Linked DNA regions of Neodiprion lecontei. The protein of the gene in region 1 purifies or fractionates together with the protein of each later gene. This does not show direct contact. Links are inferred from orthologs where the notes say so. Each region holds a gene or a part of one and is shown on either strand. Other genes may lie near its edges. The genes, in order: 3-hydroxyacyl-CoA dehydrogenase type-2 and mitochondrial ribonuclease P protein 1 homolog.

The links.
Region 2: the proteins of 3-hydroxyacyl-CoA dehydrogenase type-2 (region 1) and mitochondrial ribonuclease P protein 1 homolog purify together in Homo sapiens (co-immunoprecipitation; 3 studies listed by BioGRID and IntAct, counting the BioPlex papers as one, with this or other methods). This does not show direct contact. The link is inferred for Neodiprion lecontei from reciprocal best matches to the Homo sapiens genes HSD17B10 and TRMT10C.

The regions. Positions count from the first base shown.
Region 1 is NC_060261.1:5,801,588-5,810,103, forward strand, and holds 3-hydroxyacyl-CoA dehydrogenase type-2, read left to right. Parts: upstream 1-4,405; 5' UTR 4,406-4,669; coding exon 4,670-4,678; intron 4,679-5,020; coding exon 5,021-5,185; intron 5,186-5,290; coding exon 5,291-5,884; 3' UTR 5,885-6,002; downstream 6,003-8,516. Other genes in the region: zinc finger protein on ecdysone puffs, read right to left, coding at 1-108, 233-539, 1,750-1,985, 2,601-2,741, 2,999-3,232; protein nervous wreck, read right to left, coding at 6,403-6,969, 7,273-7,304, 7,610-7,744, 7,857-7,956, 8,067-8,281, 8,366-8,516. UniProt on the Homo sapiens protein: Mitochondrial dehydrogenase involved in pathways of fatty acid, branched-chain amino acid and steroid metabolism. Acts as (S)-3-hydroxyacyl-CoA dehydrogenase in mitochondrial fatty acid beta-oxidation, a major degradation pathway of fatty acids.
Region 2 is NC_060266.1:958,869-967,646, reverse strand, and holds mitochondrial ribonuclease P protein 1 homolog, read right to left. Parts: upstream 4,997-8,778; 5' UTR 4,691-4,996; coding exon 4,308-4,690; intron 4,234-4,307; coding exon 3,291-4,233; 3' UTR 2,255-3,290; downstream 1-2,254. Other genes in the region: F-box/LRR-repeat protein 4, read left to right, coding at 15-108, 178-634, 707-944, 1,056-1,416, 1,479-1,806, 1,865-2,201; nuclear transcription factor Y subunit B-1, read left to right, coding at 5,444-5,558, 5,685-6,229; uncharacterized protein LOC107219454, read right to left, coding at 7,589-8,092, 8,194-8,361. UniProt on the Homo sapiens protein: Mitochondrial tRNA N(1)-methyltransferase involved in mitochondrial tRNA maturation. Component of mitochondrial ribonuclease P, a complex composed of TRMT10C/MRPP1, HSD17B10/MRPP2 and PRORP/MRPP3, which cleaves tRNA molecules in their 5'-ends.

The DNA.
Region 1 (8,516 bases):
GGCTACACGCAAATCATGTCTCATCAAATCTACCTTCAGTTTATAAGATTCATCCAGTTTATCCATCATCAACTGATGTGCACGTCCGCGAAGATGGTTTTCGAAAGACTGAAATCCATTTAATTTGTGATGATACGAAATAATAATTGAAAGATAATGAATAAATATCGGATTGGTGAATACGAAAGAGATAAGAAATATTCTGATTTATATTATGGAGGACTTAACTTACATAACCGTCCCACATATGCTTATTGCAGACATGACAAAACATGCGGGTCATGGGAACATCGGCATAACGGCTCTCCGCATGCCGAATTTCGCACTTTTTGCCACTTCCTTTTCCTTCCTTATCAGTAGATGCAGTTGCGGTATCTCCATCTTTTGGAGGTTCTGTAGCCGATGTTTTTTCTGGAGACAGAGTGTCTTCGTGTTGGCCCAGATCTTCCGCAGTTTCAGATTTATTTGATAGTGTAGATTCTTTTGTTTTTTCATCTTTCCAATCGCGTTTTTTAGTGTCAACATCGTCGGTTTCTTCACTATTAGCAAAATTAAATAATCTTTAATTACCACATATATTTATTTTTTCAATGTTTGGTTGACTTCTTCATCCCTATTAAAGAGTTAAGAGATCAATTTCGTTAATTGCTTATCAACATGACACTAAAATACATATCTGTTGAAATGTAATTGTATTGAAAAATTCACAATAAAATGTATTAGAAAAATTCAGTAACTTTCTACAGTCAATAAGCTTAACACCAATTGTATCAACAGTTAGTAGTCACTGAGTTCAGTTTTGATCCTATTCAAGAATATACATATAATTACCTTTTTTGCTACACAAATTACATCGCGTTATCAGTGAATTCCAGGGAAGAATAAATATAACAGCTTTTCAACAAGCCGACTATGTAGATGAGGAATTCCATCTTTAAATATATGAAGATTCATTAGACCAACGAAACTCTAAAAGGGTTTGTTTTGCAATAGCCACGTACGATAATTATAAATCTAAACTTGAATCATTAACAGATGCCCATTAACTCGAGGATGAAATCCGACTCGGCCATGAGTGAAGTTTGATTGAAATCCATCTCAAATGTTACTGATAACATTCAAACTTTAAATAATCATAAACGTCAAATACTCAGGCATAATCCATTTAGAGAACGACGCTGCACGCAAAATATTGAACAAACTAAAGAGTTCGAATCCTGAAGCAGACTGAATGATGTTTTATATGCTTGTATGTAATCGACACTTGGATTTCAGTTTAAATAATAACAACAATTGATATAGCAAGTCATCTGTCGAAAATGGAAAATTTGGGAGAATGTCTCATTAGCTGAAGATTATGTAAACTGAAGTGCATACATTCCTTGGATAATCGAAGATTGGCGATTTCGTAGGAGAACTTTCAAATGTAACGAAGATAGAGTATAGGAATGGTTGGATGCAAGGAATCATGGCATTATCAATTTTGATTTTTTTCTCCATTAGCAGATGTAACTGATTTAATTTCCTGCAAAGTTCCATAAACTCTTGCTAAGGGAAAATATTTTTCTTGTTTTACATAGTCAACGTAGATGACAATGGTCCATTGACTAAGATAATGTGGTCGGTAGGAGAGAAAGGTTTGGCGATTGCGTTTTTCGTTTAATTGTTTGGGGAAGAAACACCCAAGAAGATGATAGAGTAAGACTGGCTGAAGACTGAAGAAGCTATTCGCAATCACCAGCTGCTTACCTTTTCAAATCAGATGTATCTGCTTTTTCAATATCAGAAGTCTTAACATCCTGTGATTCCTTTTTGACAGTGGCAGTTTGATTTTGCTTAGAGGCAGGATTTGGTTTAGAAGATTTATCGTTGCGATGCTGATTTTGGTTTCCATTGATACGTTGATTGCCGGACTGGTTTGCACGAGATTGTTGCGCAGATTGGCCACGTCGCCCAGCAGGGCCATCGCGGGCGCGAGGGCCCATCTAATCATTTGGGTTAAATGACCAAATGGTCATAAGAAGTTTCTGATTGGCCGTGAAACGATTCTTCTTGAATCGAATTTGATTCTTATATAACCAAGTGGATATTTAGGGCAGGAAAATACATGCCCGTGTAAGAAGGTTGAGTGTAATAACATAAACCAATTAGGGAAGTTTTTCTCAGTTGATAGAAAGATAAAGAGATTGAATGCGTGTATGTGTGCGCATTTGTGTCTAATACTATCGGAGATTCGTTTTACATGTTTGTGGGGCAACAAAAGCAAATACTTGCAATTTTCCACTTTTGTCTAAGAAACAAATGATGGTTATGCAGATACCATATATCTGCGCATGAGCAGGAGTGAATGTCCACCAAACTACATAAAAGTTGAACAGATCAAAATGAAGACAAGTTTCACATATTCAAAGATTATTCTTGAAGCTTCTATCCAACAATTCTTCGTGAGAACCAGGACTCGAGAGAGGAAGGAAGAGAGAGAAAGAAAAAACACTGTAGTTAAAAGTTTCTTCAACTCGTCACATTGAGGAATGATATCGAAAAATTTACTGTAAAATTCACAAGAATGAAATAATCAGCATATTCATTTCAATTCATACCTTGTAGGGCTCTGAGCGACGGTTCTCCATCGGACGACGCATTGGACGGTCATTAAAACGACCAGGTCCGAAAGGTTGTTGACCTCGAAAATTTGGCCCTGGCCCACCAAAGTTGTTTCCAAGACTTAACAACGAAGGCACCTAACATGTACAGGACAAAACTTAAATCAAAACATTTATTGATGTTCTAAATCAAATTGAGTATGTTACAATAAATTCAAAAATAACGTCAATATAGGTAAAAAAAAAAAAAAAAAAAAAAAAACGGCACTCAAATAGAATGAATACGATTCTCAAATAGTTGAGCTGGAAATGTTCGGAGCTGACTTACTCACTGCTGTTTTCCTTAAAACTCTGAGATTGACAAATCTTTGGAATCCTGAGAGTTAAAATATTACCTGCGGTTGTACATCTTGTTGACCACGGAGTAGATTAGAGAGAAGATTGCTGGCTATCGCAAGTTGAGCCTGCGGTGAAGCAAGAGCAAGGTTGTTGTTTGGTGTAGGCAAAATTCCACGCCCAGGCATCATGCCTCCTTCCCAAGGATTAACCCCGCCCCCAGCATTTCCAGGATTCCGATTGAATCCACGATTCCCGAAAGCATCCCTCTTTGTTCCTCGGTTGAACGACATGTTGTCTGAAACAAAAATACCTCTATATTCGTATCATATCATAGCATGGCAAATAGCAACTTCGTTCTTATGCACCGCTAGTTATAGCTGAGCCAAGGCGAAGCGAACAGCTGCTACCATATGTGATTAAATATTATGTTAAACCTTCAGTATTAGCCTAATGTATGAAAAAACTTTGGTGCACTGGAAAAATAGTTGCTTTTTTTTACTTAAAATAAGATTGCTGAGTCTTTATGCGAATTTCGGCAAGAATATCTTTGAGTGAAAAAATTCCACAGAAATAGATTATGCGGGAAAAAGCTTGAATTCTTCGTGACTTGATTCACGCTATAATAGAAGGAAAAGAAAGAATGTGCATGCTGTGAACCTTGGTAAAAGTAGCAGGTATACTAAAGTTGCAAATGGTTGCCGACAGATAGCTTGGATATAACCAAGACGATTGAAAAGAATGTTTAAAAAAAATGTAAAGTAATCACGAATGCCGAGTCAATGCCGGATGTCTGTGGTTTATTTTTCGTCACACATTAAAAACAACATCTACTCACCAAAAAAATGATATTTTTTCCGTCACAATAATCTCAGGTCAGGTATAAATATCAAATTAAAGATGACACAAACGGAAGCTTCGTGCAGGAAAAAATGGAGGACAACCCGCCGGGTCAATAACGTCCTCAACCCACTCAATTCACTTCAAGTTGGCCAACCTCAACACGATCGCTCATTGGTAGCGGGGAAATAAGAGAGTCAACCATTGCACAAACAAAGTACATATAAGATGAATAATGAAAAATAGAAAGGTATGTTTCGAATTTGGACTATAGAAATAAATCCGGGAACCGAAATCCATTGCTCAAGTTCGACCTGAAAATTTCGTCTTACGTACGAGAACATATTCGCCAATTCGACAGTTAGATAGGTAGCTTTAATAGGTAGATTCCAAAGCGTCTCTATACCGAACATTAACATGGCCGATATTTACGGGTTCTGTTTCGTTATTTTATCGATATTACGTGCAAAATAAAGTGACAATGTGACTATTATTTAGATGTGATTTTGCTTCCGATAAAACCTACAAATACATTCTGTTTAGAAACATTTTCATGTTGCTTACCTCATTTCTGGCCACGCCTATTCAATAGTTGTCCAATTGTCTGTGAATTACTTTCGTGTCTCAAATCACCAGTGATTAGTGAGTGGAGAATCGACCCTTCGAGATACAACACATCACACGCGCTAGTTAGACATGTAGTAAAATCACGGAGTAGTAAAGTGTAATTGAAGGACACGTGGTTTGTAGAAGTGGAAAAAATAAACAGCTTAATCATGTTTTGATAAGAACTGAATAATTATCGTCAGTACAACGAGAACGATCTAGTTAAGAACCAGTATCATTTTGATCCGTCATTGTTGAACCAACTTTTCTACCGCAGACGGAACATGTTGAAGGTATGATAAATTTTAACTAAGTCAATTATGTCTGACCAACAGCCGAACGCCGGTATGTTCATCTTTTTTGAAAAATGCATATTGAATTATGAATGTAACGCTTATCGTTGAAAGAGTGAATTCTCACGATGCTTAGATTACCCACCTTCCATCCCTGCAAATAAAAATTACTAGATGGTCGATTGTTGTAATAATCGCGCCTAAGAGTGCAATAGTTCAATAATATATTAGGCGTTTTCTCATTTTGTTCGACCTATGAACTTGACTGGGGGGCAAAAATCTGCAAGTTTTTTCTGCGACGATTGAGTACTTTATTTGGGCTTTTATCAATTGTCTCAACAGGGAGCTGTTGCTTTAGTGACTGGAGGGGGATCCGGCCTGGGTTTGGCGACGGTCGAAAGATTTGTGAAGCAAGGGTCAAAAGTTGTCATTGCTGATCTTGCCACATCTAAATCACATGAGATAGCAGATCAGCTTGGACCATCTGCAGCATTTTCCCCAACTGATGTAAATTTTCAATTGAATCATAAGTTGATGTTTCAAAAATTATAGTTTATAATATATTAGGTATGATCTTTATTGAAAATATTGAAATGAACAACATATTCCCAGGTAAGATCAGAGGAAGATGTCAAAACAGCATTGAACTTGGTGAAGGAAAAGTTTGGTAAATTAGATGTGGTCGTAAACTGTGCTGGTATCGGGATAGCTTATAAAACATACAATTTCAATAAGAAGAGGGCTCATGAATTGAGTGATTTTGAAAATGTACTGATGGTCAACACTGTCGGAACATTTAACGTAATTCGATTGGCAGCTGGTCTTATCGGCGAGAATGTACCTAACGAAGATGGGCAGCGGGGAGTCATAGTCAACACGTCTAGCATAGCAGCTTTCGATGGACAGATCGGCCAGGCTGCGTATGCAGCAAGCAAAGCTGCTGTGGCTGGCATGACTCTTCCCATTGCCAGAGATCTTTCAACTCAAGGTATTCGCGTTGTGACTATTGCACCTGGGTTGTTCGATACGCCACTGTTACAAGGACTGCCTGAGAAAGTGAGAAATTTTCTGGCAAACTCGATACCCTTTCCTCCAAGACTGGGAACTCCTGCTGAATATGCACAATTTGTAGAATCGGTTATCGAGAGTCCAGTTCTTAATGGCGAAGTCATAAGACTGGACGGTGCCTTGAGAATGCAGGCATAAAGTAAATGGGTTCTCCTTTTATTACAGATCTATTTATTACGTTGAATAAATTATGTGAATAATTGTTATTAATAAATAAATGGATCTGAGCTAGCAGCTCGAGTCATACAGACATTGATTGAGATATTCCACTTGAAATGCGGAAAGCCACCACCCGTACAATCCTAATCCCACAAGACTTATGAAGGCGTTCGGAAAATTATCTGAGAGCTATATTACAGGTATCGACAATTCTCTTTATTACTTGAAGTCTGTATATTAATATCTTGTAAATATGTTGCAAAAATCGCAACTTACTTTTTAACTATTTTCACCTAGAGTATTAGCTAGCAAAAATTGTGTACATAATATTAACATAAAAATATTTAGTTACAGTATGATTAGTCTTTTTTTCCAAGAACCTCAGGAGAATTCCAAAATTCCAACAAGTGCTGAAATTTGTACTGATGATTTTTCGGAAGAGCCAATTTTTCTGTTAAGGCGGGACATTCTGTTGTTTCTCCGAGGCCAGGTCAATCCTAGGCATTAGATTCTTTCAAGTTTTGAAGTTTTTCTAATTGATCTGGTTGTAGTTCGTCTGGAATGCTCGCTCTTCCTCCAACGATTACCTTTTCTTGGACAATGTCTGGCATATCTGCCACTTGAGAATCAATTTCTGTGTCACGCGTCACCAAAGACTGTGAGTTCTCAGCAGTGCTGGGCCCAGATGTTGAATCCGCCTCACTACCAGAGCTGCTGCTTACTGGAAAGGGGGCTGAATCAGCAGAGAAATCGTCGACGACAGATTTTTCATCAGTTTCCTCTACTACCTCCACCTCGTCTCGTTGTTGTACGTCAACTTGTTCCTGAAGGTCACTTTCTGCTGTTTTCTTAACTGAATCTTTTGAAGATTTTTTAGCTTTGTCCTTTGTTTCCTCGGAAGCTTCGTCCCCATTACTAGGAAACGATCGCTCGATTTCTTCCATAGGCGTAGCTGCGGTAATAACTATCTGTGCTACACCCAAACCAAACTCGTCAGTTTCTTGAGAGGACACTATCCTTTGAACTTCCACATCAGATTCTTGCTCTTGTTGATTCTCATCTTCCTACGATCCAAAGTTAAGTCATAATTTACAATATGTTAGACAGGATCTATAGCTTTATGCGCAATTTCTAAAGTGGAATAAGATTCTGTTGAGACATTTCCTCTACTGTCTGATATTATACACATTTGTGTGCACGATTGTTTTTACTACTCTGACTTGACTAATGTTTTGGTCCAATATTATTTCTTACAATTTTGTTAGCCAAGATTCCAGTGATACATCACTGGATTTGTCTGAACATTTTTTTTTTTACTGATGTCAAAATCTTACTTGGGAGTTATTTCAGTATAATTCTTGATTTACCTGAGGAACCGATTCATCAGTAACTTCCACAACTTGAGCAGCGAGAGAATATTTATTATTGAAAATGTAAACACATGAAAAACATCGGCTACCACATGAATAAATAAAAAGAGAACGAGAGAGAAAATAAAATGATATTCTATGAACTTGCATACCAAAAGAAAAGAGTATTCTATGTAAGTTATTTTATCGATAAAAATGATTATTTGAAAAATTTACTTCGTTGCCAAAAATTGATGAATTCTAGGACTTCAACTTTGGTACTCTTCAAGTACATACAGGATCCCAACGAAAAAAATCAACGTGCACTCGGTGTATTTGTCATTTTTGAAAGTACCTATTATTCCTGGTGGCTGGGTATCAACATCGTCTCCAAACTGTGACCCGTAATGGTCGTGTTGATTCTTAGATAATTTGATTGCAAAGCCCTGTTGATCGCTCATCACTTGACTCGGCATATTTTCAGAAAACTCTACACAAACAGAGCGATGAGGAATAAAGGAATTTCATAGGTCTTTACTGTAGGATAAATGTGAATGTCATCTTTGTTAGACGTTCACTTAGTTAATAATATTTGTTATTACCAGGTGGAATAGGTTGAGTGATGTCATCAGATAACAAAAACTCTGGTATTTCAGGTGGTGTAAATACAGGTGGTGCTGAACTTGGCGGTGTGTTGTCCTCCTGTAATGAAATCAAAATGATTTCACTATTTCTATGAGTTTTACATGTCATATCTTGATTTAGATTGGTCTCAAAATTTTCTATCGAATCAAATCCTGTTCAAAGTTTACCTGCGGTGTCAAGGGCGATCCATCAGCGGCACATGGTTCAACTATGAGAGATGGAAAAATGCCACATTGGCCACGTAGTTCTCCTTCCCACCAGCCATCATCGACATCGTGTGGTTCTTTTCTTAAAACTCGCATCACATCTCCTTCCATGAAACTGAGCTCTTCAGCACTGTTGGCATCATAATCGTACAACGCTATGCAGTACTGTGATGTACCTGGAATGCATTTTAAATGTAGGATTGCTCTACTAGTAACACAGTCCAAGTCAGAAATGATTAATGAATATCATTAATAATTACCATTTATGTGGGTTTCTATGACTGTGTTTTCAGTTGTGTCCTGTAAATTCATATCAGGGTCAACAGCGTCATGGTCATCAATAGTATAATCTACTGAGGAGAATGAGATTTGCTGAACAAGAGTTCCAGGTCCTTGTGAACTTAAACCAGT
Region 2 (8,778 bases), on another chromosome or scaffold:
ATAATTATTTCTAGAGAACGTACGGCTGCTGGTGGGACAAGGCGCCATCCAGACTAGTTGATTACATGCCGCAGAACAATGACAATGTCGTCTGCCAGGACTACATAGGTATGGAGACCACAACAACAACAATGACGATCCATATTCTTTATTACTGATAATTGAACCCTGTTACAGATGTGGCGTACGATCGTGAGGTTTATCCAATCAGAGTGTCCATATATGAGACTTATAACCCGGGCAGCGTTGTTGGAATTTGGGCTGCCGATAGCAGCGGAAAGTGGAGCCGTCTTTGGAGAGGGCTGCCGCAGGTAGTTTCACACAAGCCAAGGATATTTTCTCCCCCTCTACAGCCATGCTGTTTCAAGACCAAGATGCTTAGACTGGAGTTCAACCACAGTAAGCAGGACTATTACACAGAGCTGGATGCCGTCCTCCTCATCGGCACTTCGGAATTTATTCAACCCCACTTTAGATTCAACAATAAAAACTTGAGCACCTTGCTTCGGCAGCTCAACGACAGTACCCTTGATTGCGATGACGTTTATAATCTGACGCCAGATTATTTACAGACACACAAAGATTTAAGGGAGCTGAAAAACACGTTTTACAAGCACTGTCAACTCTCGAACAGGTATGTGATCCAGTTTTGCACCGTGTTTCTCGTCATTTCCAAACTCGAACTGGCAAACTTTTGATTTTGCAGAAATGTTACGGGTAGGATACACAAGGGGACCATAATTGACAGGCTAGGAACTGACTACCACTGCATACCGCCAATCGAAGAAGCAGTTAGCAGTCTGCACAGGTTTCTCCAGGAAGACTTTCCAAAATTGATGCAGGACATCGATCTTTCAACTTCCTCAAGAAGTGCAGTGGCTGGAAACAAGACTGGGAGTTCGTTACAGTCGGGTGATATTTGCGGCAGTTTTTCTGTGTTGCCCGTAAGCGTTTTTTCCGTTTTAATACATTTCTTAATAGAACAGTAATGAAATAAATTAGCCACAAATTTTTAGTATAATTCAATTACAAGCATTTATTTCACAAACCTGCAGGACGAAGCGGTACTGAAGATTCTTAGAAATCTCGATCTCAGATCTCTCTGTCGCTGTTGTCAAGTTAATCGGCATTTCAACAATATAGCAAGAGATGCACTTCTCTATACCAGCCTAAACTTGAAACCATATTGGTACTGTATTGACACAAGCGCGCTTGAAACGCTGGCCTCGAGGTGCCAATATCTTCAGCGTCTAGATCTCTCCTGGTGCGGCAACTACAACACGATAACATCTAAAGACATTCAGGAATTTCTCACGTCCAGCGGAAATCAGTTGACGCACCTTAGATTCAATTCCTGCCAGTTTGTCAACAATTCCGTGATACTGAAGGTTTCCATGATCTGCCGAAACCTAAAAGGTATTTACGTTTTCATCTCTCAATCGTAAAAGATTAATTGACCGTTATCGTTCGACGCACAGAACTTTGCCTTCGCAACTGCGTGGAGATAACTAAGGACGGATTTTGGCCTCTGGCAAACCTGCAGCAGCTCGAACGTCTCGAACTTTACAGAACGTTGATTCAGACGCCGTCGCTGTGCGCGATTCTTAAGGGAAATCGAGGCATGCGCCACCTGAACCTTGCCGCTTGCGACCACGTTCATAACATGGACGATATCGCGATGGAGGTTGCCTACTCGTGTCCTCACCTCGAAAGCGTTGATTTCTGGAAGAGCCATAGCCTGACGCCCCACGGAGTTAGAGCCCTCGCTCGTTGCACGATGCTTAGAGAGGTCGACTTCGGATGGTGGTTAGTATGAAGGAGAATTTTTTAAAAAACGGGAACTTCGAAGTTTGACTAATTTCAGCCTAGGCATGGGAGCTCCAGGGGAGTCGCTAAGAGCATTGGCTGCGTCCTGTCAGAATCTGGAGAAGGTCTTTCTCGCTGCTCTTCGCGGCCTCACCGATCGTGACCTCGAGCCGTTTTTAGCCTGCTCTAAACTCAGACAGTTGGATTTCCTTGGCGCAAGATCTCTTACTCCCGAAATATGTCTACGATTTTTATTATATTGCACTCAGCTGGAAATGATGGATCTCAGCTTTTGCGAAGGTATAAGCGATATGAAGATACACGAATGGCGTCAGCTTTATCCTCATGTATCTATTAAGCGTAGTTTTCAAGCAAGTGGATCGGTTTTTACATAGTTCATCGATGTTATTGCTCTGTTCGTCCGTTTATCAGTTGCTTTTTTTTTTTGACCATGTCACCTTGCAATAGTCCGAAATTCCCGTCTTTACAACGTATAACCATTGGAGTTTTGTCGGATGGTCTGCTTGGTTTTTTCCCTTGTAGATCAGTTCCATTTTCGGTGACATTTTACATCTTTGCACCAGGAAATCATTTGAAAAACGAATTTTCACTAGCTTGCGAAATCGACTTGGATTAATAAATTTTGGTGGACGAGTGACGATGCGTCGGGGAATATTTTATTAGAAGGTGACTCGAAATTTTTCAGCAAGCAACAACAACCTCTTCCGGTTTATTGTTTTATTCGTATAAAGATTGTTTTATTATTATTTATTATCGTGACATTATTGATAGACGCGAGTATATTTTATAATCGTTAATTTTTATCAAGTCTACACTGTATCTCCTTGAAAAACTTTTCTCTGGGATGATAAGCAATATACATCATCACTATTAAGAATGATTAGGATATTCTACATATTTAGTTCAAATTTGAAGTGTCGAATTGCCGTGGTGTCATATTATCTTCATATTAGCTCACGTTCTTCTAAGCTTGAGATCTTCGTTCGAGTAGATATACCTATGTGAGTACATGCGTATGGAGTAGTGCGTACTTAAGAGCAGAGTTCTTTCCGTCCAAAAGACTGATCAAACATGTGCTTTTTTTCCACTCTTCGAAGCAATCGTTCCTGCATCATGTGACTGAAAAAAGATCCACAGACACGATATAAAATTGTACATATCAAACGCAGCTAATATAATAAATCTGGAAAACAATTGTACCTCTGGGGCCTTAGAAAAAAAAAATATGGTGTCTGTACACTGACAAAACATAAAAATACACTGTGGTATTAATTGAATGATATATCTAAATTATTTCATTTTTGTTACAGGAATTTTTTTATTAGAGGTAACCGTGCCGCAGGATTTCATTGATAATATAAAGGTGGAAGTAAGTGTTAGCCTGTCTGCACTAATGATCAGTATATTGTTCTCATTTGTCATAACCAACAATCCTGGTCACATTATTTACAATCCGTTATTTATTACGAACTTTTCTTTTGTCTGTCTCGAAAAGTGTATGACGTGTTCAGCGAGTGTCCGATTTTCGTTTTCGTAGGCACGTATTGTCTTTTTCTTTGAAGCTCAGTATTAACCCATGAGGGAGTTTGGGGCGGAAACTGAACTTTGCCAGTTTGTAATTGGTCAAGAGGCCTTTCCAACTTCCTAAGAGGGACGTGTTTCAAGGCCTTATGCCAATCTCCGGTGGTCCTGATATCCGCCAAGATTCTTAGCACATGATTAAGTGGCAAACGTTTGCCAGAGCCTGAACCCCATAGCAAGTACTTGTCTAGAGGGAATTTGGCCATTCTCAGACCCTCTTTTTTTGCCTTTGCCAAAGAGAGGGGCTGGTTGTTTGTCTTGTCCACCATTCCGCCTATTATGTAGATGGAGTCCGGTTCGTACTCTGTCATTTCGGTGTTGCAGTGCGGCGTCAAGTAGACCAGCTTCTTTTTGTCATAGAGCTCGGTGTACGAACATTCCTTTATTTCTAGTGGAAAATCAGGCTCGTTGGCATTTGGTACAGATCTGTAAAACTTTTCCATAACTACCGAAAATTTATTTACATTGCAAAAGGTGATGTAAAATGGATCTCGGAGTACGCGATTCTCCGCAAACAAGAAGACGAGCTGTTTGGCGCATTCTGACGACTCGCGCACTGTCATGTGTTTGTCGTATCCGAGGTCTATTATCACTTCAGGACCATGGATCTTGGCCATCATCATACGCGAGTGGTAGAAGCGATTCATCGCTGTGTCGTATATTCGCAGGAAAATTGTGTTTTTAAACAGCCTATACGCCATCTGATCGACTTCTTCCCTCCCATGTTCCTGCAGCTTCTGTTCCCTCTCTATCCTGGCTAGTTCTTTTTTCTTCCTAAAGTTTTCTTGGGTCATTTCAAGCTTGAAGAGGTACATCAGATATCGACTGCAAATTGAAATTGACAAGTTCTTATTTATCTCCGATCATTTTTAATGTAAAAACATATTAAACAAAATTACCTTCTCGCAGATCTCGTTTCATGCCTGATCAATTGCAACCAATGTTGAGGCTTTAGCTCCTTGGGTATCAGTCTGCCGTTCTGTCTCATCACCTCGACTTCGAGCTGGATCACTTTGTAAAGTTTCTCCATCTCCGGGTCCGAGTCCATCATAGCTTGAAGCTGTTCGCCGCTTACAGATATTGTGACATTTTTCTCCAGATTCTCCTGTGTCTCGCCTTCTTCGGATATCTTGCCGACTTTCGTACAAAAACGTCTTTTCGACGTGTGGAGAATATCGCAGGCACTCAGCTGTGCCTCGATCGCCGGCCGGCAATTTCGTCTTGCGGTCCACCTCAGCGGCTTTTTCGTCAATGTCAGACAACGCAGTACTCGATTAAACATATTGGCTAATTTGGAAGTTTTATAGCTATCAAAAAATCAGGATTTTCGATTCATTTGTAGCCAAGTTGAATTTGCCGCATGCACCGCGATTATTTCTTAACCTAACATTCTTTCCAATTTATTACTCCTCTCTAAATATTCCGAATTGACAGCTCTTGATAATCGAGCCAACGTGATTATACTTTTGTAGTTTGGCAGTTTACAAGAAAAGGGTTCGCGAGTTTTAATACTTCGAACGCCTTCGTCTGCTTATTTTGTTTTGTGTAATACGGAAAATCGTTGAAGTGCGTGAAAGCGGACCACGGAGTAGAATACAATTTAAGACACTACGGATCCCGTGAAAACAGTCCAAATGCTGAGGCTACGCCAGACTCACTGCGTCACCTGTTGGTGGTTGTCGACTCTGCTTGACGGACGCGTATCGAGGATATTGCAAATTGTGTTAGCAAATACAAAACTGATACGGACAATTTTTTATCCTTTCGTGTATAAACAGACGAGGAAATACAGCCGTAAGTTGAACAGAACAGATTAAATCACCCTAACTCACATCGAGCAAACTGTTGGATAATTACACGTTGACAATAATAGTATAACCTAACCTAGATGCCTTTATTTACGCTTTTATGCTTGACGTAGAAACGTCAAATATGCTCAAAGCGAAGTTATTCTATTGAAAATGCATAAAATGAGATTGTCAATGACGGACTAATTCTCGTTAACCTATTTCACAGCCTAAGGATAATACCGAATATGGAAAACAGCGGGGAAAGTGGCGATGACGGTGGGCCACTTGGCACTTCAGCGTTTCTTGGCGGTGGAGGCGTGGGAGCTTCTTATATCGGTGTCCAGTCCGATGACTTGGAAGGTACGTTGAACATTTTTTGTAGAGTACGAAGACCTTAATGCGTTTCCAAAAACAAAACGATGTCGTTGACGGTGCTTCAACAATTAGTAGCTATGCAATTTATCATATAATTATCACCGGCGACAGATGATCCTGAAAATACAGACGACTCGAACCACGGAGGAGGAGATCCTCTGCAGGGAAGAGGTGGTGGGTGTCCTTTGCGGGAGCAGGATCGCTTTCTGCCGATTGCTAACGTAGCCAAAATAATGAAACGAGCAATACCGGAAGCTGGCAAGATAGCGAAGGATGCCAGGGAATGTGTTCAGGAATGCGTATCTGAGTTTATATCTTTCATAACATCCGAAGCGAGCGACAGGTGCCACATGGAAAAGAGAAAGACCATTAACGGAGAGGATATACTGTTTGCTATGACCACCCTCGGCTTTGACAATTACGTAGAGCCACTCAAAGTCTATCTACAGAAGTATAGAGAGGCTACCAAGGGCGATAATCCGGGATCTAGTCCGGGCGTTGTGCCCGGTAATGGAAAGTCGGTTGATCAGCAAAGCACCATTTACGACGACCAATTGTTCACCATTGCTACGACTACTGGCAATGCCACAACTTCGGATGCTCCCGTTATATACAGCTACGCACCTCCTGATCAAATGCAATTTCAACTTTCCTGAGTAATACGCTAAGGTATCTTATACATATTTTACAAGGCTGACATTTAATTTCACAAGATTGAAGCAGGGGCCTGAATTGATGAACTCTAAAGACCTGCTACTTCGTCTTTTTTCGAAATATGTCTATGATTAAAAGAATGGTAGGGGGGAAGTTCCGTTTTTTCATATTTTTTTTTTTTTTTTTATTTATAAAGATTTCATTTATTATCATCACTATGATTTCTGCTTTCTTGCCTTTTTTTTCTTTCTTTTAAGATATGTCACACTTACTGAAATATTAATTATCTACGCGCCGCCTCCGGCTTCTTATGAAAGTAACAACAATTTTTCTTTATAACCATGAATTTTTCTTTTGTCTGGTTCCTTTTTTTTCAAGCGAAGGAAGATTCTTTTATAAATAAAATTCCTATATTATTTCAATCATAGTATATATAACATACTCCCTAAAATCGCTAGGCAGTAGATATTGGTATCTAATATCTTTTGCTTGTCTATTCGTACACACCAGTGCTGATTATTATTGTTATAATTATTATTCTTTTCCTCAACTTTGTTCTACTCTTAGCAATGTGATAAATTAACGTAGCGGTATGATATATATATATATATGTACGTATGTATACATGTCAAATTTTTTTCTTTTAACCAACAGGCATAATTTTTTCATATATGTGAGAAAATTTAATTTGCCCTAATTTCAATGGTATTAACGTCACGGAAGTATATGGGCAGTAGCATCTAATTTTCAAATCTCCGGACTCTTTGAATAAGAGTTTGAATTAAAAAAAAAAAAGCAGAAAAGTTGTATAGTACATACACATATTTATAATGAACCAAAAGAAGAACAATCAAAAAAATAGAACAAACAATTAAAAATTATGAGACAAGTCCATGGTATATTTGATAACTTTGATTTTCCAGCTTGACGCGATTATTTGTCAAGCTCAGTCGTGATTGTATACCTATTATAGTATAATTTGCAAAAATGGTGCCGCACCTAGATTATAGAGCAGGCTTAGTGAGTTAAAAAAAAAATCAAATTCTTATTGCTTATGCAATTTAGCTTAAAAAGTAATAACGGATATTTAATATCAATAGATTATATTGAATTGGATTAACAATAATAATCTTTAGAAAAAGAACACGCGGCTTAGGTGTAGTCAATTCGAATTTGTCATATTAATGTACGTATAACATATCACTCCGTTCCGTTACACTATAAAGAGATTATTTGGATAATCGTAGAAAAAACATTGTCAGAGGCATCTGTTTAGTCGAGAGTATATCTGGGAAACTTGGTGGCGGGATGGCTTTTCCAAGCATTCTTCTTCTCTACGATTTGGACCCTGAAGTAGACGGTCATTCGGATAGTTGAGCCGCCGACAGAAGAAGCTCTCGCCCTTTCGCCGCTGGAGGGGGAGGAGAAACGGTCGCGGCAGCTGATCTGAGCGGCGGCAGGAGGGAAGCAGTTAGAAGAGAAGGAGCCGGCGGAACATTGTTCTGCTCCTTCGCCGAAGCCTTTTCCAATTTATCACCTTTCGCCACAGCGGACGACGACGACGAACTCCACTGGCATTTACCGCAGTGGCACAGGCACAGACACAGCAACACTCGCAACAGGCAACACAGCAAGCCTGCGCACAGGAGAGACGGACCCACCAGCCTCAATTCCGAACTCTGGAACCCTTTTTCACCCGTGCCCACAAACGATATCACCAGACCCAAAGCCGTCGTCCCAAGTCCGGCATAGAGCACCGTGTTCACTGCTGCGCTAACTTCACCTCTCCGTCGACCGCCACCCCACTCCTGCCCGTCTTCTTCTTCCTCTCCGCTGCTTCCGTAGCAGTAGCTGGCGTCCCGTATCTGGGAATAGAATAGTTTTCGACTTCCAAGTCTTTTGTTGCGTTCGTTGCGATTGGAAATGAACTGGTAAGCGTTGCTTGAAAATACGCCAAGTTACCTACCCTGTTTCTTTTCATCCATCGTCGGTGTGCCTCGCACTGTTTCGTCTTGTAGTTGAGACCGTCGCCGGCGCGTGAACCGATCGGTGATACGGGTGTTAGAGGAAGGGGCGATGGTCTGCTGCATCCCTGCCATGCTGCTTTACCCTGAGCCTGGCTTTGTCCGCTGCACTGAAATCGTCAAAATTCGCTTTCAGACGCGTAGTTGAACGAATATTGATTAGGACAGGATACGTAGGAGGGAGTGGACCAGCTTTCCAATTATCAACCACGTATTTATGTCTGATTTACAAATCACGATTTAGAGGAAATTTCACATCAGCTGGTAATTGAAATTATTCAGATGTTCGTTCGGGATCATAGTATGTAGACTTCTGGGTGTTTCTACATTCGCGAGGGATATAAACACCGTATTACATCTTACTTACCTCTTAGACATGAACAACTAGATTACAAAATTACACAGACACGACACGTTGCTTACATAAATAATTGACAAATTTTAAAAACAAGCCAGAGAAAGTAAGGAAGAAATATCGTTACAGGCATATATCCGCCTATTATACTCGTGCGTACACATATCACGTT